Cricetulus griseus: one gene and its partners. The protein of the gene in region 1 interacts with the protein of each later gene in a pairwise test. Links are inferred from orthologs where the notes say so. Each region holds a gene or a part of one and is shown in the gene's direction. Other genes may lie near its edges.

Region 1 (4,858 bases):
GTGTCTTAGTTAGGGTTTCTATTGCTGTGAAGAGACACCATGACCACGAAACTCCTTTTTTGTTTGTTTCTTGGAGACAGTTTCTCTGTGCAGCCCTGGCTGACCTCAAACCCACAGAGATCTGCATGCCTCTGCCTCCTGGGTGCTGGGATTAAAGGTGTGCGTATCTGCCTGCCTGACCACAGCAACTCTTTTTTTTTTTAAGAATTTATTTATTTATTTATTTGTTTATTTATTCATTTATTTATTATGTATACAACATTCTGCTTCCATGTATATCTGCACACCAGAAGAGGGCACCAGATCTCATAAGGGATGGCTGTGAGCCACCATGTGGTTGCTGGGAATTGAACCCAGGTCCTCTGAAAGAGCAGTCAGTGCTCCTAATTTCTGAGCCATCTCTCCAGCCCCACAGCAACTCTTATAAAGGAAAACATTTAATTGATTCTAGCTTACAGTTCAGAGGTTTGGTCCATTATCATGGTGAGAAACATGGCGGCATGCACGCCTGTTGCTGGAGAGGTAGCTGAGTGTTCTACATCTGGATCAGCAGGCAGGAGGAAGAGAGCCACTGGGCCTGGCTTGAGCATTTGAGACCTGGTGACACAGTTCCTCCAACAGGGCCATACCTCCTAATAGAGCCACTCCCCCGTGACCAAGCATTCAAACACATTATGGGGGGCATTCTTATTTAAACCACATTGCACCAACTGAGCTACATTCCCAGCCTAAGAATGCAATTAAAAAGCACATCAAGTTATCTGCCTTCACCCACGGACCTCCATCTGTCCCTTCTGCTCTAACAGGATAAAATAGCTTCAAGTACTGTTTGGTGGTTGAAGACCAACTCCAGCTGCTGGTGAGAGGCGCTACTGCACCCTTGTGGACATATTTGGTTACTGCATCCAACCTTGTGCCTGTCTGTCAGAGTAGGACTTTCCAATGCTTGGGCCATGTTAAAGACCCAAATAACAGCTTCATTCTGTTATTAGTTAAAGCTGCTCTTGCACAGGAGATTAAGTCACAAGCCTGGATGTTAACTATGAAGCACCTCTGTGGTTCTGACCAACAACCTGTTCCTTAAAAGAGGAGATGGGTTAAGATGGGGAGGGGATTAGGATCTTCTGAAGTTCCTAGATTGGCTTTGGCGTTCTTAGAACACTGTGTCTCGGAAGATCTTGATTCTCACATGGTTGATATCCTCAAGTCCAGCTCAAGCCCTTGGGAAGAGTTAGTATGAAAGCCAGGGAGAATGGTTCCTGGCATCCTGAGTAGCATAGATGACACCCATCATTGTAGACAGTCACAGGAAGACAGGAAAAATAAATACCATGTGGGGTAGAAAACCTTGGAGAGATGCTTTGTTGCTGTTTGTGGGTTTTGTTTCTCTTTTGTTGTGTGATAGGATCTCACTTGAGTTGCCTAAGCTGGTCTTGAACTCACTATGTAACCCAACCAAAATGGAATTTGTGATTCCCCACCTCTACCCCCTGAGTAGGGAGAGGTAACAAATGTGAGCCATAACCTCCCCCACCTCCTGCAGTCCTGAAGTTTCGCGTCCTGCGATTTATCTTTTGAAAAACTCACTGTGGGTCTGCAAGTACAGCTCAACGCTAGGACACTTTCTTAGCATGTGCAAAGCCCTGCCTTCAATTCCCAGATTACAAAATAAGGAAACAACCTAAGACAACTTGCTTTCGTGGGTGGTGGAGGAGGATACAGCTATTTCTTGGGACAGAAGATGAGATAGATTAAGTGGGATTTAGTCGGCAGATGGCGCTGGTAGGGCGGCAGACCTGGCCCAGGCTAGCTTCCGCCTGGAGGCCCTCTTCAGAGTCAAGTGCCACTGGGAGATGCTGACGCGGTGAAGGCTGGTTCAGGTCTGTTCTAGTGTTTCTGTCTTAAGATCTCATCTACCCTGAACCCTATCACAGAAGTGCAAATATAAAACAGACTGTAACAGGGAGAAATGTCCAAGCAGGGAAGTAGAGTGATGATGCACTTCCGGAAAATGTGCTACCCCACAGCACTGTGGCCAGGGTCCCAGGAGAAGATAGATGGTCAATTTCAGTAATGCTAAAATGGAAAAGAAAAGTATTTTGCTGACATGAATGCTAGAGAAAAAATTTTAAATAGGGTGGGCAGGGGGAGGGAAGGATTCTGAGACGGTCACCTTGGAACTTCGGTAAGAGGAAGCATCCTTGGGATTCAGTGCTGAAAGTATCAGTTGCTGCCTCCCCTGGTTAATTCAAAGGTGCCAAGCTGTAAGTCTGGGGACATGAATCTGTAAGGTCTTCCAGGCCTTACAGATGGGTCAGTCCTTTTGATACTGGGGAGGGGGGAGGTGCTGTGTTAGTTATGGCAGTTTGAGATGATAGCTGAGTCTTTCCAATGAAAAGTCACCTGACCCTCAGAAATATTATATCACATTTATCAGAAGAGTCCTTGAATTAACTCAGGGGCTCAACTTGTCACTCAGGGCCTTCCTATCTCTCCCCCTGAGCCATATCCACCCAGAGGTTGCAAGATAGCTGCTACAGATCTTGTCATCACAAGACATTGTGATGTTCTGAAACCTGGAAGAAAATATCTAGGAAATTTCCTTTCTTGTCTCTTTTGCCCTATTTTTGTTAGGTAGGGATGTCTTCCTTAAAATTCTGCCTCCTCCCTACCCCTGGCCCCCGGCACACTTGATCCTTTATCTTTATGGGTCAGGTTACTTTTCTGTAGCTGTGGTAAAACACTGGGACCAAGGCAACTTATAAAAGAAAGTGTTTAATTTGTTTGTTTTTGTTTTTCAAGACAGGTTTTCTCTGTGTAGCCTTGGTTATCTTAGAACTTATGCTGTAGAGCAGGCTGGCCTCAAACTCACAGAGATCCACCTGCCTCTGCATCCCCAGTGCTGGGATTAAAGGTGACTGTCACCACTGCCTGATGAAAGTGTTTAATTTGTGGCTCACAGTTTCAGAGGGTTAGCATCCATGGCAATTATGGAGGGGAGCATGGCGCAGGCAGACATGATGCCTGCTCACATCTAGATCTGCAGCCACAGAGAGTTGAACTGGGAATGCTCAGCGTTTGAAACCTCAAAGTCCATCCCTGTGATACAACTCCTCCAATGAGCTCACACTCCTAATCCTTTCCAAACAGTTGCACCAACTGGGAACCAAGCATTCAAATACAGGCACCTAGAGGGGCCATTCTCATTCAAACCTCCACAAAGGGGCATACATGAAATGAAATCCAGAGGAGGAGACCTATACCAGGTCAGGCTTGAGAGAGAGAATGCCTACTGAGAAGTGGCAGGCTGTCTGACATAATATTCTTCCTTCTTTTCCCTGATATAAAACTCATGCATGTTCATTATTGGGTATTTGGGAAATCCAGAAAAGTATAAAGAGGAAAAGAAAGAGGCTGGGAAGAAGTTCAGTTAGTAGATTGCTTGCACCATGCACCAAACCCTGGGTTCAGTCACCTACATAGAATAAAAGCAGGCTTGGTGGTACAATCTAGTGGCCACACCCTTTGGGCATGGTTTTAGGTGTGGATGTGACCCCTTTAGGAGAGGAGCAATGGTGTCAGAAGTGGGATTTTACCCTGTATAGATGTTGGTTCCATAAGTCAGATTCTTCTTTGTTAGATGATTCTTTCTGGATAGCTATCCTTTCTTCTTTAGACATCTACACAACTGATGTCTTTTGACTTCTTGAAGATGGGTATTTTCTGTTTTCCTGTAAAGACAAGAACAGAACACTCCCCCGATCTTTATGAGGTCTCCATACAACTCGTGGGATTTACTTTGGTGGATGACCTGTCATTCTCCTCGTCAAGAGGTTTCCCCTGTTCAAACAGGATCTTGAAGCCAAGTGGTGGTGGTACACGCCTTTAGTCCCAGCACTCAGGAGGCAGAGGCAGGCGGATCTCTGTGAGTTTAAGACCAGCCTGTTCTACAGGAGCTAGTTCCAGGACAGCCTCCAAAGTCACAGAGAAATCTTGTCTCAAAAAAACAAACAACAACAACAACAACAAAACAAATGGGATCTTGATCAACCTTGATGGTATCCACAGCTTTTTAAAGGGTCGGGCCACTACTACAAATTCACTGGCAAGGCGAGATGCCACTACAAAAGACAGGGTTTCTCTGTGTACCCCTGGGTATCCTGGGGTAGACAAGGTTGGCCTCCAACTCAGAAATTCTCCTGCCTCTGCCTCCTGAGCACTGGGACTAAAGGTATTAAAGGCATAGGCACCACTCGGCTGCCCCTAACTTTTCAAACTACTTTCTGCTCAGTATATAAAAGTTGGTTGTAGGCCATGGCCTCAAACCCTTCCCTCCATCTCTCTTTCCTTCCTTCCTTCCTCCCTCACTTCCTTCCTTTCTCCCCTGTGTGTGTATGCACTCGCGCACATGGGTTTACACGCACACATACACATGTCATAGCATAGGTGTGGAGGACAAATGACAATTGGTGGTAGTTGGTTTCTCCTTCTACTGTGTGGGTCCTGGAGATTGAACTCAGGTTGTCAGGCTTGATGGCAGGTACCCTTACCTGCTGAGCTATCTTGCAGGCTCTCTCTTACATATCCTTTCTTTTGTTTGTTTTCTTACTGTGAAAAATTAATAAATGATAGCACACACAGCATATGTATGCAAAGACTATAATGAACACATGTGAGCTCAATGTCCAGTCTGAAAAACAGAGCCCCATCAACATTCATCCTTCATCATGGTTGCTGCTGCTTCTTGTTTTAGTTTTTTGTTTTCCTCCAAGCTCAGTGATTCTCTCACTCCCCTGGTCTGCAGGTTGCCTGCTGTGCAGCAGACCTGGGCTGGGTCTGGTGCTCAGCTCTGCCTCCT
Region 2 (4,775 bases), on another chromosome or scaffold:
ATATGCTTCCACACCCGGATAATACAAATAAATTTTAAAAAATAAAAATAACAAGATGGAAAGAAACAGAGGAAAACACCTACGTTGACCTCTGGCCCTGACATATGCAACACAGGTGCACACACATCTCAACACACACACAAACACACACACCATAAAATGAAAAACACATTATACATACACCACACCAAATGTACTAACCATCTTAGCTTTATGCTATGGAACACTGGGATGTGTTTACTGTTTCCTCTGGTGGGGCTGACGGGAGCTGCCATTCGGTTTGGCTGTCCACGATTATGAGGGTGTGAGACCACCTGTCACCAGCCCAGGAAAAGAGCAAAACAGCTTCCAGCCAACATTATCACATTTCCACCACAGTTTCTCCTGAAACACCTGAGTGCCAGAGCCTACTAAAATAGTCAGGTACCGTGCACACCCTTCTCCCCACAACACCTGCAGTAGCTCCACCAGGGGTCAAGGGCTGGCAAACAAATCGTCAAATGCTAAATATTTCTTGTTTGATGTTCAGTAGTAACGAGCTTGTACACAGGGTGTGTCACCTAGACCCGGTTCAGTCGTGTCTTCTACACAGCTCCACAACTCCACAGCCACGCTCAACCATCCCCAACATTCATTCATTCAACAAACATTACCTGGATGACTGTCAACCCACTGATTCATGACTTGGAAAGAGCCAAAGTATTATTTAGGAGCTAGACAGGAGCTGACAATGTAACTTAATGAGGCGGGACACGTGCTTCCTAAGCACCTGTCCTCTGATCTTGTGAGAACTATACTTGGGTGAACTCGTTGATTAATTAACGAGGGCCATTTAATCTTCCAGATTTCAATTTTCAGTTTTAGCCAAAAGTCTTTCTGTCTTTGCAGGGGTGTGGGGGTGGAGAGGTGCCTTGGTCCTGCCTCAACTAGACATGGGACAAACTTAGTAGACTTCCTAGGGGAGGCCTTACCCCCTCCGTGGAGCCGATGGGAGGGAGGGAGTGGGGGAGCGGGAAGAGAGGAGGGAGGGGGAACTGGGATTGGAATGTAAAAATAAATTAATTTTTAAAGAAAGAAAACAACAAAGTCTGTCTTTACAAACCAGAACCGGCTTCCCTGATTAGGCTAACTCCTTTGCCTGTTAAAAGCACTCTGTGTCTTTAAAATGGGGGCGGTCTCCTGTCAAACGGGCCCCAAAACATGGGCTGAAGGCGAGTGGAGTCCCACCCACTTTCTGTGACGTCCTGCGTCTTGGCTTCTGATTGCCGGCTTCCAACGTCAATCGCGGGAAGTGCGTCTTGCTGGGACACAGTGGAGGTCTGCGCTCCGGTCTGAGGGGCGGTAGGGTGTATTCTGCGCTCGCCCCACACCCGCGAGGCCCGCGCCGCCCGACCCAACGGCGGAGCCGCCCAGCGCCTCCCGTGGCACCCGCTCCCTCCTCGCTGGGGCGGGACGTGGCCCGACGGCTCCGGTCACTATGGTCAGTGGTCGCGGGACGGGAGGGGGCGCCTCCAGGGCTCATGTGCGTGCGCGCGGTCGGGCGCGAGGCTCAGCCCTTTCTATCCTCCGGATGCTGAGCCCCGGGGTGTGCCTCGCTGTCCCTTTGGGAACCTGCAACGGGGAGATCCAGCCCGGACCGAGCCCTGCTGCCTCGTGTCCACTCCAGGTAGCCCCCCAGGCGCCTCCTCGAAGTCCCGAGGCATGTGCCTGGCCGGGGCAGGATGGGGCACCTCCGGGGTTACGGTCTCCACTCTTTGTTAAGTAGCACTCCTGTGGACAGCTTGCAGCCCACCCATCGCTCACTTAGCTACTCTGCCCCAGCCAGTCATCCCCAGGGACAAGCTATCTGGCCACCCGGGCAAGTCTTAGGGCCACTTGGACTTAAGCTCAGTCTCCTGATGGCAACAGGTCTGTGGAGTCAGGACCACAGGAAGAGGCCGGCCCCAAGGAGTGAGGAATGAGTTAGGAGTCCAGGCAAAAATGATATAGAAGAACCTCCCATCTGAGCAGAGTAGGCCCAGGAGAGTCTGGGCTGGTCAAACCCGGTCGAACCCTGGGCTCGAGCAGGTGGGGAAAATGAGGCCAGACAGAGAGAAAGCTGGTAGGGATTGTGATGATGCGACAGCTTGGACTTGAACCCAAGCCTCTGGTCCAGTGTTGTGTGTTGCATCAGCCCACAGGTTGCCATGGGATCAGGCCTCCAACAGGGGATCGAGGATGGTGGCTGCCCTGTACTTTTCAACTTCCAGCAAAGGGCTCTAAGGAGTCTATTATTAGTACTACTGGTTAGCTTGGGCTCACACAGCTCTGGGCTCAAAGTCTCACCTGCTCTTTTTGTTTTGTTTGGTGATGCTGGGTTTTGAATCCAGGGCTTCATACATGTTAGATAAGGCTTGACTTAGGAACTACACCCCCAGTCCCTCACTTCCAGTCTGGGCTGTCCCAATGGCTGCTATGAGGACCCTATTTATTTTGTTTGTTTTGGTGCGTGTGCGTGTGCGTGTGCGCGCGCGTGTGTGTGTGTGTGTGTGTGTGTGTGTGTGTGTGTGTGTGTGTGTGTGCCTGGGGAGGGAGGTGGTATTCAACTAGGACCTAGGGAATCCAGAAGATGGGTCGTGTGGGTACATGGTTCTTTGTGCTTGCCCTTCATCCCACATTTGGGTCACTACTTTGGGTTGCTGCAGGGCTAGTGTCTGAGTCAAACCTGTGCTGAGTGTGGATGGGAAGCCAGGCATCTTCCAAGCCCTCCTCCTGCTGGGGTGTGCCCAGAAACAGGATGGAGGATGGGGGGGGAGAGAGAACTAGAAGTTCTAGTTTCCTGCTTGTTCTTGGTACCCAAGCGTTCACCTGCTCTGCTGCTCCTGGAAAGTGGCCCGGGCATTTCCGCATCACCTGCCAGGGAATAGAGCTATTAAAATGACAGTTTTAGCCACGCAGAAGCTGCAGGCTGGTAGGGGCTGGGACTTCAACTTCTGTCCCTTACTGTGTAACTGGATCTGCCCTGAACCCAGGAGACCAGTAGCTGGGACCCAGCAACTCCCCTCTGGGGAGTTTAGGTGCCTTGGAGAGAGAGGTAATAGGAAGGACATTTGTCTGGGACTCCTGAGGGCAGAACTAGTGACTGTTTACACGGCATTTTTCATTACACACCTTTTTTGTGTAATGCTACATCTTGCTACATCCTTGGGATCCATGGTTGATTTGTATTAATGTTTTTAAATGTTAGTTGAGGCTGCCTGGTATGGAGCTGGATAGAAGAGACTGTCTTTGGAATGACAGCATCTTCCTCTATTTCCATGTCAAAGTCACAGGGCTGAGCTTGAAGGTGGGTCCCAGACTGAAGACATGAAGTCCTCGGTAGTCAGGGCTGCAAATATCAAGTGACATGTCACCCTCAATACAGGTGCTTTTGCTCTTGGTGGGTCGTAAGAGTGAGTGTTGAGCATAAGCGTAACCATGAGTTCCTGTCTGCTTTCTTCTATCGTGTGTTCCACAAGCCACCACTGGCATCCTCAGCCTCGGTTCGGGCAGTGGTGAGAACCACATGATGCCTGCCCTCTCCTGGAGTTCATGCCTGTGAGCCAGGTCTCAGCCAATGAATTACTGACATGGCCTGAGTCTAACAGAGACCTTGGGAGCATGGCACATTCCACTGGTGGGGGAAACCAGGTGCTGGAGGCTGTAAAGAAGTATTGCGGAAGGATTGGGAAAATAGTACATTCCAGGTAGCAGGACGATAGGCTTACAGGCCGTGGGGCACAGTCAAAAGTGGGCATTCTGGGAAGAGTAAGCAGCTGATTGAGATTCAGGGATGCTAGAGGAGCCTGGGGTGGTGAGTCTGGAAGATTGGATGGGATCTGAGTGTTCTGTACAGAGCTTTGCATGCTGGGTGGTGGAGTTTGGGTTGTCTGCACATTAGGGAACTGTAACATTTCTGATGAATATGAAATGGTTTCTGGCTCTCTGACGCTGGGTCGTGGGTGGCCAGCTGGAGTGAGAGGAAGGCTTGCTCATTCAGTGTGCCCACCAGGTTACTGCAGCAAAGCTCTCCAGCAGGATAGAGCCATAGGCGCGGGTCTTGTTTGCTGGTGAGTCTGGAGGCTGAAGTCACCGCTGAAGGTGCAGGCAAAGGCACACAACCTCTGAAGGTGTTTGGGAATGTTCTGTCCCTGGTTTCCCCAAACTTCCAGTAGTGGCTTGACTTGTGACACTGGTACTCATCTGCAGATGGCTCTCCCCCATGCATGCGTTTGCACTCCTCTTTTAATAAGGAAATTGGTCATGGGGCTGGTGACCCACCCTGCTCCATTGTGACCTCATCTTAACTAATTATATCAGTGACGACCAGATTCCAAAGTAAAATGGCATTCTGAGGCCTGGAGCTAGGGCTTCAACAGTCCAGCTTGTCACACTCGGGATATGTTTTTAGAATACATTCCAACATTCCAGTAAGTGGAGATCCAGCGGTGACAGATGATGAGTCCCTACTTTTGTGGAATTGGCATTTGGGTGGAGGTGGCATCTCTCTAGTCATGTAAAGAGGCAGAACAACACTGGGGGCAGAAGAAAGAGAGGTACAAAGACACTGAGGTAGAAGTGTGTGTCCTGTTGGAGGGCAGGGCAGCCACTGTGGCTGGAGCCCCTTGTTGTACTAGGGCCAGATGGGAGGTTGGCAAAGATTGAGCAAACAAGCCAGTGGATGGATTGAAGAGGTTTCACACTGCCACAACGTCATAGATTGGGTGATTTATAATGACCAGACATTTATTGGCTTC
Region 3 (4,778 bases), on another chromosome or scaffold:
CAAAATCACAGAGATCCTCCTGTCTCTGCCTCCAGAACGCTGGGATTAAAGGTGTGCACCACCACTGCACAGCTGTCTCTTGGGGCTGGAGAGAGGGCTCAGGTTTAAGAGGACCCGGGTTCAATTGCCAGCACCAACAAGGCAGTTCCAGTATCTATCCAGTTCCAAGGGATGTGACACCCTCACACAGACATACATGTAGGCACAAACGCCAATGCACATAAAGAGGAGTCAATAACTCATACATACATACATACATACATACATACATACATACATACATACATACATAGAGATTCTCTTCTAGAAGCCCAGGCTGGCTTTGAATTTGAGATTTTCGGGTCTCAACCTTCCCAATGCCGGGATTACAGGCCTGGGCCTCCAAGCCTGCTCACTCTAGTTTTTTGGGGGTGGGTTAAGTCACCAAAAGATTTGGGACTTTACTTTCAAAGCGATTAAATACTCGGGAAATGCAAGCGCTTCGAGTCTCAGAACCACGTGTCTTTCCCAAAGACCCAGTGACTCAGGAAAAAGAAAAACGCAGAACTCTCTCACTGCTGACGCTTGCAGGTGTCGGGCGGTCCCATTTCCAAATGGCGCTAAGGTCCCCGAGCAAATCCCGGGACGCGGCGAGAGGCCCACCGGAACCAGAATACAGCGTCGGTGGAGCAGGCGAACCCGGAAGCAGTCGGTCCCCGTCGCAGGGCCGCCCTTTGTTCACCAACGCCCGTCTGGCCTAGCCGGGAGGTCCCCAAGTCCCCGCCGGCGCCGACTCTCAGCCCCCCACCTCCCGCGCGCACCTGCGGCCTCCGTCGTCCGCGCCGCGCCGCGCCAACAGCACCAAGATGGCCCCGGCCGGGCGCGCGATGCGCTCCCCGTGACGCTCTGCAGCGGGCAAGCCGGCTCTCCAGGGAGCATGGCGCAGTCCCCGCGGCCCGGCTTCCTTCCTAGGTCGCCACCCTTCGGCTCCCGTCACCTCCCGGGCCACCCGCCGCAAGCAGAACGCGGGGGCCCCGCTCCCGGGTCTGCGAGCCCTGCTTCCCCGTGCGCCCTGCCGCGCAGGCCCCGCTCGGGCCGGCTCACCGCAGTGGAGCCCTTCTTGACCGCCTCCTGCGCGTACTCCACTTGGAAGAGGTGGCCGTCGGGCGAGAAGACGGTGATGGCGCGGTCGTAGCTCATCCCGGCGGACGCGCGAGCTAGGGCCGCCGCCGCCGCCGCTCAAAAGCGCACACTCACCGCTTGCGCCCGCCCGCCGGCCGTCTCGGGCCACGCTGCTGGCGTCCGCGGCGTCTGGCGTCAGGGGGACGTGCGGCGCGGCGGGGCGGGGCGCGCGGGCGGAGCGGGCAGGGGCGGGGCGCGGCGGGGCGGGCGCAACCACCGAAGCCCGGCACAGGGGCGGCGCGGCGGCGGCCGGCTGGACGCAGAGCGCAGGCGGCACAGCGGCGGACTCGGCGCGGGGTCCAGTCCCGGAAGGCGGTGGCTTAAGGCGCAGGGACGCGGGAGGCCCGGGCGCGCGTCGGCGGCAGGCGGGCGGGCGAGCCCACGGCACGGCATCCCCCGCGCCCCCGCCCCCGCGCTGCGGAGAATGGGCACCTCGGGCCGCGGGGCGCAGCCGGAGAATAAACCCGAATGATCACGGGCTGAGTCCGCGCCGCCACCATGTCCGTGGCCTTCGCGTCGGCGCGGCCGAGAGGCAAAGGGGAGGTCACACAGCAGACCATCCAGAAGGTGGGCAGGGCCGCGGGGGTGCGGAGCGAGGGTGCGCGCGGGGCGCGAACAAAGCCAGGGCACAGCCGGGCCGCAGGAGCCCTGACGGCGGCCCCGCGCGCCCCCAGGAGAGCCTGCGCCAACTTTGCCGGAGGCGCCGGCAGCGGGGGCCCGGCGGCCGCAGGGGGTGGCCACCCCGGAGCGCGTCGCGCGGTGTCCTCTGAGAGCGCCCCTGTCAGCCGACGCAGCAGTGCGGGACGCCGGGGCCCGCGGCCCCTCCAGCCGGGGCGGGGGCTGGTCGCGCTCCGCTGACAGCCCTGGTGGCGTCGGTCGCGCGCCTCTGCGCGCAGCTTGGCGAATGGAGAAGGGGGCGCGGGCTGCCTGGTGGCGCGCCGCTGCGGCGAGCTGACCGGTGTCGTAGGTATTGCGGTCCCCGGCACAAAGGGACGCATCCAAAGTGTGCGTGCCTTCCCCACGGCCCGCAGCGGGCTCCCGAGCTCGCTGCAGGCGGGTGGACCTGAGGCCAGCGCAGCCCCGCCCCCGCGCGGGTCACTGGGCATCGGCGGGCCCCGCTGCCTGCACCCAGACTTCGGAGATTTCGTCCTGCAGTCTCGGTCCCATCCTTTATTCGGGCTACTGTTTTCCAAAGAAGGCGTTTGCATGGGTTTGGGGACATATTTAACAAAAGCTTTAAGTTTTGACATGAACACTTTAGCATTTTACTGGTTGTCTTTCGGTCTGAACATCTTTCCTACGCTCTGGCTTTTCTCAGTTCGGGTTCCTTCTACAGAATTTCCGAATTCCCTTGAGCCGGTTAGGTCCCCAAGGGCCTTGGCATTTTAGGCCCTCATAACCTGAGGGGCTTGTGGGTATTTACTCAGCTTGTCACCTGTTTCCCAGCTCACCCTTGCTGTATTCCGCCTCTTTGGAATATAATGATTGTCGAAATCAGCAAGCTTTGGTGAGCTTTGGGCAGGAGAGATTATTGGAGCAGAGCAGAAATTCGGATTTTCCAGTGTGGTTTTTGTATTAACCTTTTGAGAGCTGTGGGATGCGATGGTGTTTCTAGGCTTGATAGCTCTTGTCACATTTAACTTTTTTGAGGTGACTTGGGGAAGGAAACTGAGGCTGCAGAGGCTCAGTGGTAGAGGGAGTCGCAGCAGCAGCTCGTCCATGATCGCTCCAGGGGCTGCTGTCCCTGCGGCCATGGGTTGGGAGCCTTGTTTGATGGAGGGTGAAGCACAGTACACACATTGGAAGGCCCGACAGTGCCCTAGCCCTCTGGCTGCTGGAGCTTCACAGTCACCGTTCTCAGAGCCACCTTTGGCTTCGTTGCTTGTCCAGAATTTTGTAGTCACACCTGCTCATCGAAGAGCCTCAGTTTCTCCAGGCTAAAGTGTGTTGGAGATCCACCCCAAACATCAGATCACCAAGAGGGGAAATTTGCTGGCCTCAGTCTGGGGCAGAAACAGCCTGTACGTCTTCAATTCATCCTGTTAAGGTACTTGACCTGGTAGATCCAGCAGTCCACTTACTGCCTCTGTGGGTCCTTTAGTGTAGAGTCTTAAGTAGGCTTGAGGGGAGTGTGTCTTATACTTCACACATGTACTTTGACCTAGTTTGGTGATGTACCCCTGGGATCACATTCCAGAGCGAAGACTGGAAAGTTTAAGGACAGCCTGAAGCTACATGGCAAGTTCAAGGGTAGCCCAAGCTGTAAAGCAAGACCCTGTATCAAGCCAAGGGCAGACCTCTGGCCTAGTATTCCCCAAACCCTAAACTCCACCCCGAGTGTGCATGCATACTCCGTGCACAGTCATTGTGTGCTAACCTGCCCATGCTAAGATCACTGGGGAAGGCCAGGGTGCCTGAGAGCTCTGGGGGAGGGTGAAAGCAAAGGAAGGAACAGTGTGTTCTCAGAGTGACAAGTCCTGCTCAACCTTCAAAGTCCCACACAAATGTCCCCTCCTAATCTTCTCTCATCAGTCACAAGGCCACTGTAGGACTTTGAGGTATTGTCTGTGGCATGTGAGTTAGCATGTGACTGAGATAGTCACTGCTGGTCCCTAGTTTCGCATGGGACTTGGTTGCAGCTAGTGTACCCCACATACAGTAGAATGTGTCATAGCCTGAAGCTACCTAAGCTTCATTCTGCCTAAGCCAATGTTAGTGCCCCACAATTTCCCTAGATAGCAGTCTTCATTCACTCACCCTGTCTAGCTGTGAAGGAGTGGCTGCCTTCCGTCCATCCGTCCATCTGTCCTTCCTGCAGTCCTGAAGGAGGCTGCTTCCTACCTCCTCAGCTTCTGATGGCTGCCAAAGCCTTTGGTGTCCTCCTTGTCTGCAGCAAGGTCTCTGTTTTCCTCTCCCTGGATCTCCTTGTCTGGGTTTCTTCCTCTTAGACGGACAATGGTAACTTACTAATTTGCAGATGGCCTGCTTCACAAGTTTAGATATTTCATGGGGTCAGGAAATTTGAGCAAGCCGTGAGTAGACCACCCTGCATGGAGCAGGGAGTGGGGACCCAGAGTGGAAGCCTGGAGAGCTGGCCTGACCTGGAGCAGGTGACCTTGCGATGACAGAGCACTGGTACCTGAGAGAGACTAGTCAGAACTGTGCTTTGCTGAGGACAGTGTCGCCAGGTGTGCCCAGGATCCTGAGATGGAGCTGTAGCTGGCGGATGCCTTCACGGGCGCCAGCGGCTCAGGGCCAACCCTGTCTTCCTCTCTGCTAGCTAAAGGCCATAGTATGAAGGTATCCCGCACTGTGCTCCTGATACAACCAGGCTGGTACAGTGCAGTGGTTCCCATGGCTGCATGCCTATTAGAGGGACAACTGGACGCCCCCTGCTGTTTCACACAACAATTACACAACAAAAGTTACATATCTGAGGCTGATTGTATTAGCTTCATCATCATCATCATTATTAGCACAGTTGCAGGTGCCGCCGTGTACATGTAGCCGTCAGAGGAGACTCTGGGAAACCTGTTCCTCTTCTCCTTTTCCATGGGTTCCAGAGATTGAACTCAGGTCTCCAGGCTTACACAACCAATCCAGTTAGGAAGGTAACT
Region 4 (4,633 bases), on another chromosome or scaffold:
TAATTTGGCCAAGGAGGCCAGGCAAGAGGGGAAAATATAAAATAAAACCATTTCAATTTGCTCTCTGCATCACGAACAGTAATCTCTTATAAGACAGGGACTTTTGTCTACCCCGTGTATTTATAATTTGAGAAGAGCAACGGGTTCTAGGCTGGGAGAAGGCCCCTTGCATTCACCTCGAGCTGGCATTTTAGTGTAACAGCTGCGTGGATTCTCCAGTTAAGCCGCACCGCTCGGGGCTGCTTGCCCCGGGTAGGCTGATTCCAGGGAGAAAGCAGTGCCCCTAGAGCAGCGGGGGGCGGGGGGGGGGGGGCAGAGACCTCCTCGAGCCCCCACCCCTGCACAGACAGCACCCCAACCCCTGGCGTGTCCATCACCCCCAAGCTTCTTACAAAAGGGGAAATCCCTTTCTTGTGTTTATTTGCCAACGAGTCAGGCAAACAAACCGCCAGCTGAAAATCTCCCGGGCTCCTTAGTGTCCCAGCTGAGCAGTCTTGTTAATGGTCCAGCTCCTTTGATTGCTGGAGATGTGGGGCGCTCATACGTTCGCTCGCCCTCTCCCTCCCATCGGAGGATTTTAGCAGGCAAAATTTAAATTTTGGCGAGTCCTTTTTTAAAAAAAGAAAGAAACCCACAACCCTGCCCCTGGACCTCTTTGACAAATGAGAAGACTCCCAGCATCAGCACCAAGCGAGTGAGCTACAGTGAAGCTGTGAGTCAAAACCTCTCTCTCTCTCTCTCTCTCTCTCTCTCTCTCTCTCTCTCTCTCTCTCTCTCTCTCTCTCTCTCTCTCTCTCTCTCTCCCCAACCCCTCCCCCCTCTTCTCCTCTCCCTTCCTTCCTTCTCCTCCCCCTTCCCTACTACATATCCCTGTCTTCCCTCTCTAGCATCTCTATCAGGGCATCCTAACCCCTGTCTTTCATAGAAGTCGACTTTGCCCATTTTTGTCACCTTTAGGGGGTGGCGGAGGTGGGTGGGATGAGGGGCACCTTCCACTTTAAGAGCGCTCCAACAACAGGCCCAATAAGCCAAGGGGAGCCAACACTACTTCCCAGCCTCTCCAAGTGTCTTTAGTTGAAGGCTGATGAACGCTGGGTACTAGCAAACCCGAGGGCGAGGAGAGCCAGGGAGGAGGGACTCTCTTGGGGTGCGGTGGGGGGAGGGAGAAAGAGAGAGACGAAAGAGGAAGAGAGAGGAAGAGGGACAGCCACTGCTGCGTGAGTTAGATAATCAGCAAAAATTAAAAAGAAAAAAAAAAAAACTGTAGCGACTAGGCAAGAGGGTTAAAAAAAAAAAAAAGCAACGCGATTGTAGATTGTATGTGAGCATCTCCGCTCTCGCTCTGCGGGCACCCGAGAATCGCGATGCAGCATCCTCTGACGGGGGCCACCTGCGTGGCACTCCCCAACGTGGGCATGTGTCCCCAGCTCTCGTGTGCCTTGACTTTTATGTACTTACAGCAGGTAAGACGCGCGGCTCTTTCTCAGCGGCAGCTTCTTCTCAGCTTGACCAGACTGGGTACCGGTTCAGTGGGCTGCGCGTTGGGGGGTGGAGGGTGGGGGGTCTCGATCATTGGGACGAGGTTTGGTGGGAGCTTCTGGTTTTCCGTTAAGCCACGATGCTATTTTAATTCACCTGTCTGAATACTTTGTGAACACCGATTTCCAGCCTCAGGGACCGGGAATTTGAAAATAAAAAACTGGCTTTTTCTTGTGAGCATCTTTTCTCATGTCAGAAGTCCCAGAGGTGGGGTGAGGGGAGATTTCTAGGATGTTGAGAGAGTTTGGGGCTCTGTGAAGACATCCTGATGTTTGTAGTTTTAATTCAGCTGTTTTAATGATTGACACAAAGTGTGCATGTAGTGTGTGTGTGTGTGTGTGTGTGTGTGTGTGTGTGTGAGAGAGAGAGAGAGAGAGAGAGAGAGAGATCTTTGTTAAGTTTGTGTTATCTATCCATCCACAAGAATCAGTACATTGGGATATCTGGAGCTTGACAGCCCCCCTACCCAATCTTCTTTGAAACTCCCCAGCATTGGGTGAGCATGGGTAGATGCTGTCTTGACTGGCCGGAACACAGGGTGGTTTGTTTGCTTCTTTGGTTGTTTCTATAACCCAGGCCTGTCCACTCCCTGACAGTGGTCTTGCCAGATGTCTGTTGGCTTCATTCCCACCCAGTCCACATCTGTGAATTTTTGGATTCAGTTCTTGCTCTGAGTGTCTGCTCTGGGCCTCAATGGGTCTCCTCCTCCCTCTTACTAGAAAGGCTTCTGCCGAGTACAATACTCCGGGGCTTTGGAAACCACCTAACACTGTCCTGTGGGGAAGCAGGCCAGCTGTATCACGGGGCGGGGTCTGTGGCAGTGAGTTGGCAATATTAGAGGGGTTTTGTCTGCTGGTGGGAATCCATGACCCGACTCACTTTGGCCTGTCCTATGAAGTTTTCACCGGGGGTAATCCTTTTGCCTGCCTTTCAATGAATTCACTTTAAGAATAAGATTGGTTACATGTGTGTGTTAACAAAACTTCTTTTCCAAGAGTTGAAAGGAGCCCCTTTCCTCCAAGATGTCCCACTCTAATTTGTGCTACAGAAATATATGTCTTCATAAAATGTCAGGGGTTCTGTTTTGAACATTCGGGTAATTTGTTATCAGCTCGGTTGCCAATTTTTTTCCTCCTCATATTTACTGCTGCTAGTCTTTTTTTGAGAATAGCTCCTTAAAAACATCTTGTGAATAAATTGGTTTATACATGTATTTGTTTTATTTTGTTTCCCATTTAGTCAATCATACCAGGAACCATCTCTTAGGAAGGTATTGATAATATATGTGATTCATCAGCATGTACCATTTCCTTGCCTCAGTTGTGAGTGTGTGTCAAGTGCCGGTGCATTTTACATCAGTTATTTGTCACAGAAACATTCCAGTAAACATTTCTTCAGTTGCTAAACCTCAGCTGGATTGAATCAAACAAATTACTAGAGCAACTGGTTTTTTATCCTATATTTGTGCCTTTCATTTTATTTATGAATCAACTGGATTATGTTATTTAAGACGTAGAATGTTATGAGTGCGCAGTGCTTACTCTGTTTCTGGGGCTTATGTGTTTTAACTAATCTGTATTTCTGCTTCATCATTAAACTGGTTTGCTCATTGAAGAATTTAGGAAGGAGGACAGTGGCTTTGAACAAGAATCTATTCTTCTGTGAAAAGGAAGGGTGCATCATGTGGCACCAATCTTTCCCACTGTGGAATGCACCTGCTTTGGAGAGGAGCCTCACAGGAAGTGCTGGCAGCCATAACAAATATTTAGAGGTGACTAAATCAACAGCACGATTCCCCAGGAAGGTAGATGGGGGACGGTCTTTGAAATGAGGTCTCAATGTGTTCTCCCCACGACTGAGTGAGGCATGGGGTCAGAAAGGTGAGAGTGACAGAAGTATGTCCCTTACTGAGGTTTACTAAAATTCTGAAGTATAAAAAACGGGCAGACATTTATTTTTGCTTGTCCTATTTACAATCAAGGTTTTTAGCTGCCACCACTACCCTTTCCTAAAATTCACTATCAGAGACCTGTGCCTTGGGGTCATCTCTTCTGACCTTTTAACGCCATGATTCAAAGTCAAGGTCAGAAAACTGGCTGATTTACAGAGGAGACAGTCCCTTTCATCTCCACAGGCCACATATCAGTACAGACTACACATCTTCTGCCCGTGTGGAACCACTATACTTTTTTCTGCTACTAATCTATGGCTAATATTACATATCCATGTATTTGATAAGCAGAGAGCTAGTTCATACTTTCAAAGCATATTCATCAAATAGATGACTGAATCATGCTTCATTTATGAATAACAATACCTTCATTAGAAGAATTAAATTTTGTGTGTAGGAAAAAGGTATGTGTCAGAAACCACTGTCCTCTTCATCGCCAGTTTACATACAAAAATAATTAAAATCCTCCTATCTTTTGTGAAACATTTCTCATCCTGTTTTTATCCATGCACACGGTCTCATGTGTTGGGGACTCCTGGGTCCTCACTGAAATATTTTATCTTAGAATGAAGTCTTATATAGGGACTATCTCTTACCCAGCACTCAAGGAAAATGACTCGGTTATATGTGTTCACTGGCCTTGATCTTAACAACCCGTTCCTTCCTAGATACTATAAGACAACTCATGAAAACAAAAATCAATTAGGATGCCTCAGCCTTGAGAACATACACTGAATGTTCAAGTGAAAACAACATAATCTCTTTGCTACAAATAGCTTATTTTTTCAGATCAATGAAGTGATATATTTGGTGTTTGCATTTTTTGACTTATTTTGTATCATTTGTTTACATTTTCTAATACTTCCCTTTACATAAATATATTCCTTAAGTTTATGATTTCTTCTTTTTTGCTCTTTTCTCTGTCTTTCTTCTCTTCCCTTTGGAAATGTGAGACAGGATAAAGCTTGGTAACCCTTTTCACATCTAGATAATCTAGCCAATGATGTCATCACTGGCATGTACACACATGCACACTTAAACATCGCTAGCACATTTCATGTGTTTACAGCTATAGCCTACTTCTAGATAGAAGGGATGAAGGGTTGCTGAAGCAGCCAGCTTTTCTTCTCACTGTTGAGGTGA
Region 5 (4,680 bases), on another chromosome or scaffold:
AGGGGCAGGCCAGCATAATGCCTGAATCCTTACAGTCATCTTTCCCAGTTTGTCTAGAGACCTGGTTCCCTCTATTATGGAGAAATTGTAACAGACTCATTTTATTCTGGTGTACAAGTCTTCTGCACCGGATTATAATTCTGAGTTTACCACATACTCCGCGAGGTAATGCAATGTAGATGCTTAGTAAAAACCAAACAGGTGACAATGGGGCGCTCCGGTGAGGGCTCCCAGCTTCCTGTCCCTCTGTAGGCACTTAGCAGTGCGACCTGGAGCTGGCTACTTTACCTTTCTCAGTCTTGTTTTCCACAGCCACTTAGAGGTTTCCAAGGTGGCTTCGGGATGTGGTTTACAGTGTATGCGGATGTATGTCTGTAAGACCTTTGCATATTCAAGACTGTTGAAATGGAATCGCCAAAGGAGGCCTTTCCTAATTGTTCCCCTTTCCTATCCCAGGTAAAGAGTTCATTTATATTCACTTGTTCTCTGTCCGGCAAGGATGTAAACCCTGAGACAGACTCTTGCCTCTTTGGGGATGTTGTCATTTCCAGCACCTAGCCGCCCTCCTACATATAAATATCTGAATGAATGAATGTTTAGATCAAGAGTGAAAAGACGCAAAGGTAGGGGTGTGGCTCCCTTGATAGAGAGCTCGCATAGCAGGCACAAGGCCCTGGGTTCCACCAGCAACCCTTCTAAAACCAGGAGTAACACAGGCCTGCAACCCAAGCTTGTGAGAGGTGGAAGTAGTAGAATCAGAAATTCAAGGTCGTCCACCTCTATAGGGCGAACGCTAGGTCAGCAGGAGTCCCGGGACCCTGGGTCAAACAAACAAAACGATTTAAAAAAAAAAAAATGATCGGGCGTTGGGGGCGCACGCCTTTAATTCCAGCACCCCGGAGGCAGAGGCAGGTGGATCTCTGTGAGTTCGAGGCCAGCCTGGTCTAAAGAGGGAGTGCCAGATGAGGCTGCAAAGCAACACAGAGAAACCCTGTCTCGAAAAGCAAACAAACAAGCAAACAAAAGGCTGAATGCATGCTCAGGAAGGTTCTCAATCCCCTGGCAGCGCCGGGTCCCTTCAGGTAGCAGCAAAGCAGGAAACAAGATTGTAGTGGCCACAGTTTGACCTCTTCAGATACCCATAACAAAAATATCTGACTCAGCATCTGAATCGAACACCTCTCAGCTTCATTTCCACATTAATAATGAGCTGGAGGCAGCCAGAGGGGAAACCGCCCAAGAAAGGCATGGGGTTCCGCAGCCCTTCCTCCCCCGTTTGCTCTCCCAGCTCAGCGTGACCACCGGGGCCCTGGCACCGGGCGCCGGGCTGGGCGGGGCAACCTGCAAGTCCCGCCCTCGTGCTCGCTCACCCTAGACCCAGGCAAAGCCCTTCCCGCCCGGCTCGTGCGACCCCGAGCGGGCGTCAGCGGCACCGTCTGCGTCTGCGCCTACGCCTGCGCCTGCGCACCAGCGCCCGGGGAAGCTCAAGGGGGGGGTGAAGAAGGGGCCGGCCTTCGAGCGACAGCGACGCAAGATGGCAGCCACCACAGGCTCGGGTGAGCGGAGGCGCCGGGCGTGCTGGCGGACGGGGCGCGGGGCTGGCTGGGCTGGGCCCGGGGCTGGCGGAGGCCACGGTGGCCGGGCCGGGGCTCCGCGATCTCCTTGCGGCTGCTCTTGGCGGCGCGGCCGGGCCGGGACGAGCAGGCGGCGGCCGGAAGCCCGGGCGGGGGCAGCGGGGCCGTGGGCGGTGCGGCCAAGCCGGAGGTTCCGCGGGCGCCTCCGGGGGTGGGGGTGGGGGAGGCCGGCCGAGGGGCCGAGCGAGCCCGGGAACGCCCGGGCCAGGCCCCGCTGAGCCGGCCTGAGTGACGGGATCCGGGGATGCCTGGTGGGGGACGCGGGCGCAACCCCAGGGAGCCTCGCGGGCCGCAGGCGAGGCCACCCCAGGGCCCCGCGCGAATTTGGGGTCGGGGCTGCGAGAGGGGGAGTCTCCTGGTGGTCGCTTCCCGGGGAAATCGGGGCATCTGCACAGGGAGAGCCCGGGCGTCCGCAGCGGGAGCAGGCCTGGGCTGTGGGGACCACGGTTTGCCCAGATAGGTCTCGGAGGGCGCGCTGGGAACCGTGCGCGATGTGGGGTGGGCACGAGCAGGTGCCTCGGGAGCCCCGCCGGAGGTCAGGTGGGGCGTGTCATCGGTGGGGAGACTGGGACGGGGTGCAGTCCCCAAGATGTTTCTTTTGGAGAAGAAAATCCTCCTCTTCCTGCACCAGGCGGATGAAGGAAGTGCCTGTTTAGTTGGAGCCGGTCACTTCGAATAATTGGGAAAAATATATGGGTTCAACTCAAACTCCCCCTTATCTGGATGGGTGGGAGAGAAGAACACTGAAATGAGAACCCTTGGGTGACACGGAAGGCCTAGCAAGGGGGGGTGCTTTTAGGGGAGAAGCTCTGCCAGTCTCTTGTGGGCTAAGAGAAGCCTGCTGTGCCACCACCTGAGATAGGCCTGAGGGGGAAGCCGAAGGGTCTGTCTCGGGACAGACAACTTGCACTTGGTTGTCGCAGCATGGGGCTCTGGCGGTCTAGAGATGGGGTAGGCATTGGTGAAGGGGACCCCCCGGGGTGTCTAGCTCTTCCAGGGAAGGACTTTGGAGAGACTAGGTGCCCCCTGTTGATGAAGAGCTGCATCTTCTGGAGCCTGGTGATGGGGGTGGGCAAGGGGCAAGGATGGGCCGCCGGCCTGGGTACTGGCGTCTTGGAGCTGTGTGAGGCACCAACAGCAACAGGGTTAGGGAGGGTTGAAGGGAAGTTCCAGGGGAGTCATCTTTCCAGGATTATTGCTCTTGCCGTATTCCAAGAAGCCTTCCTTGTGTGTCTTAGGGACTCGAAGCAGAGAGGTTCTGCCTGCAGTGATCCACCACACACTACCTGGGGTCTCTGACAGAAGGCTGTGCACAATGCTGGGTCAGTTCATTCACCAGCACAGCCATGGGCACTCCTGGAGACCAAGGCTGAGTCAAGCCAGACTGGGGCGGGGTATGGACATCTCCCAGAGCAGTGTCCCTGCCAGACCTAGGAGTGCACTGCCTGGCAGCCAGTATTGGGGTGGCATTGCCACTCAGCTCAGCTTGTAGTTACTTGAGACCGTCTCACAATCTGGTTTGACAGCTACTTCTAACTCCTGAGACGCTGCCAGTGCTTCCTAAGTACAGAGGAGGGGAGATACAGCAGCAGCTGCTGATGTGTGCTGGAATCCCAGGGCTTGGCCTGGAATGTGGCTCAGCGCTAGAGTGTTCATCTAGCATATTGGAGGTCCTGGGCTCCATCCCTGGCACCACAGAATAAAGCAAGATCACCTAGCATGGCTAGATACCTTAGGGCAAGCTTTGAGGTACGGTGAGGGCTTCCCACAGATGATGACTGGGGCCTATTGTGTCCTATTGTGTGCAGCAAGCAAGATAGTTTCATTCAAACCAGACAGAAGACCTTTCAGGGTGTAAATAAAGTGACTCCAAAAAGCAGGAAGTGCTGTGAAGAAAATGGGGAGTCTGGAGAAGTGGGGCAGGACTCGATGCAGTCCCCCCCCTTCCCCCATGGTGGAGCCAGTGTGTAGTGTTAAAAAGATCTAATTAAAAGGCAGGGCAGCAGCGGTGCACACCTTTAATCCCAGCACCTGGGAGGCAGAGGCAGGTGGATCTCTGAGTTCAAGGCCAGTCTGGCATACACAGTTTCAGGACAGAGTCCAGAGCTACAGAGAAACTCTGTCTAGGAAAAAAAACACATTAAAAAGAAATGCAGGGAGGCAGTGAGATGGTTCAGCAGGTAAAGACCCTTGCTGAGCCGTAGGCCCCGAGTTTGATCCCCAGGACCCACATTGTTAGAAGAAAGCGCCACCTTCCACAAGTTGCCCTCTGACCTCCATAGGTACCCCTTCCCCCAATAAATGTCAAGGCCCTGGTGATGAGCTGGAGAGATGACTGGGTCTTAACTAAGGGCAAAGGGAAGCTATGCAACACACATCTGCTATGAAGCAGGCATTCAGTGTGTGTTGAATGAATGAATGCCTTGAAGAGAAGGCATGATGAGATCTGAATTGTGCCCCAAGGCATCAAGGGGCTGTGGAGTGTTAGAGTAGAAACAGCAGGACCTTAATTGGTGAAACTTGGGTGCTTAGCCTCTGCTCCGCTCTACACCCTTCAGGTGTTCTCAGGCCTGAGTCCACCTTTAGACTGAGCCTTTTCATTCATCTCTGCCCTGGTTGCCAGGAAACCATTGTATAGCCTTGGAAGTCCTATAAGGGTTGAGCTCAGATTTTGTGGTCATGGTCACTGCTGCTGGCACCTTCCTACATCGTTTGCTGTTGCGATCAGAGAGGAGCTGAGACAGCCACTACAACCTCAAGATGTCTGCAGTGGCAGGCAGCTTCTTGCCTGTGTTTCCAGGACTGCAGGATGTTATACAGTGGCCCTTGGCTGCCAGGTTCTTCCTCTCATCCAGCAGCCCACATGCTGGGCTGGCCTGCCCTGCCCTGACAGTTAACCAGATATCAAGTGCCAGAGTGACAAGCCCTGGCAGGGTGCCACTGTAAATATGCATGCAGGGGTGTGGTCTCTTGCACACATCCAGCTTCTAGAAATGTCACCATCTGGGCAGTAGAGATTGTCATCTTCCATTCAAGGGTGTCCCCG

The links. The genes of interacting proteins can lie anywhere in the genome.
Region 2: the proteins of Fam168a (region 1) and Otub2 interact in binary tests that used the Homo sapiens proteins (3 or more experiments, as listed by UniProt). The two-hybrid records come from large-scale screens. The link is inferred for Cricetulus griseus from reciprocal best matches to the Homo sapiens genes FAM168A and OTUB2.
Region 3: the proteins of Fam168a (region 1) and calcium-responsive transactivator interact in binary tests that used the Homo sapiens proteins (3 or more experiments, as listed by UniProt). The two-hybrid records come from large-scale screens. The link is inferred for Cricetulus griseus from reciprocal best matches to the Homo sapiens genes FAM168A and SS18L1.
Region 4: the proteins of Fam168a (region 1) and Rbfox1 interact in binary tests that used the Homo sapiens proteins (3 or more experiments, as listed by UniProt). The link is inferred for Cricetulus griseus from reciprocal best matches to the Homo sapiens genes FAM168A and RBFOX1.
Region 5: the proteins of Fam168a (region 1) and Ube2v1 interact in binary tests that used the Homo sapiens proteins (3 or more experiments, as listed by UniProt). The two-hybrid records come from large-scale screens. The link is inferred for Cricetulus griseus from reciprocal best matches to the Homo sapiens genes FAM168A and UBE2V1.

What each region holds. Positions count from the first base shown.
Region 1 is NC_048596.1:98,828,631-98,833,488, reverse strand, and holds the start of Fam168a (protein FAM168A), read left to right. Parts: upstream 1-1,861; 5' UTR 1,862-1,880; intron 1,881-4,858.
Region 2 is NC_048598.1:102,692,079-102,696,853, reverse strand, and holds the start of Otub2 (ubiquitin thioesterase OTUB2), read left to right. Parts: upstream 1-1,506; 5' UTR 1,507-1,570; coding exon 1,571-1,666; intron 1,667-4,775. UniProt on the Homo sapiens protein: Hydrolase that can remove conjugated ubiquitin from proteins in vitro and may therefore play an important regulatory role at the level of protein turnover by preventing degradation.
Region 3 is NC_048599.1:1,890,209-1,894,986, reverse strand, and holds the start of calcium-responsive transactivator, read left to right. Parts: upstream 1-1,509; 5' UTR 1,510-1,659; coding exon 1,660-1,728; intron 1,729-4,778. Other genes in the region: Psma7 (proteasome subunit alpha type-7), read right to left, coding at 1,084-1,179. UniProt on the Homo sapiens protein: Transcriptional activator which is required for calcium-dependent dendritic growth and branching in cortical neurons. Recruits CREB-binding protein (CREBBP) to nuclear bodies.
Region 4 is NC_048600.1:39,617,512-39,622,144, reverse strand, and holds the start of Rbfox1 (RNA binding protein fox-1 homolog 1), read left to right. Parts: upstream 1-1,364; coding exon 1,365-1,463; intron 1,464-4,633. UniProt on the Homo sapiens protein: RNA-binding protein that regulates alternative splicing events by binding to 5'-UGCAUGU-3' elements. Regulates alternative splicing of tissue-specific exons and of differentially spliced exons during erythropoiesis.
Region 5 is NC_048599.1:11,779,715-11,784,394, forward strand, and holds the start of Ube2v1 (ubiquitin-conjugating enzyme E2 variant 1), read left to right. Parts: upstream 1-1,411; 5' UTR 1,412-1,534; coding exon 1,535-1,556; intron 1,557-4,680. UniProt on the Homo sapiens protein: Has no ubiquitin ligase activity on its own. The UBE2V1-UBE2N heterodimer catalyzes the synthesis of non-canonical poly-ubiquitin chains that are linked through Lys-63.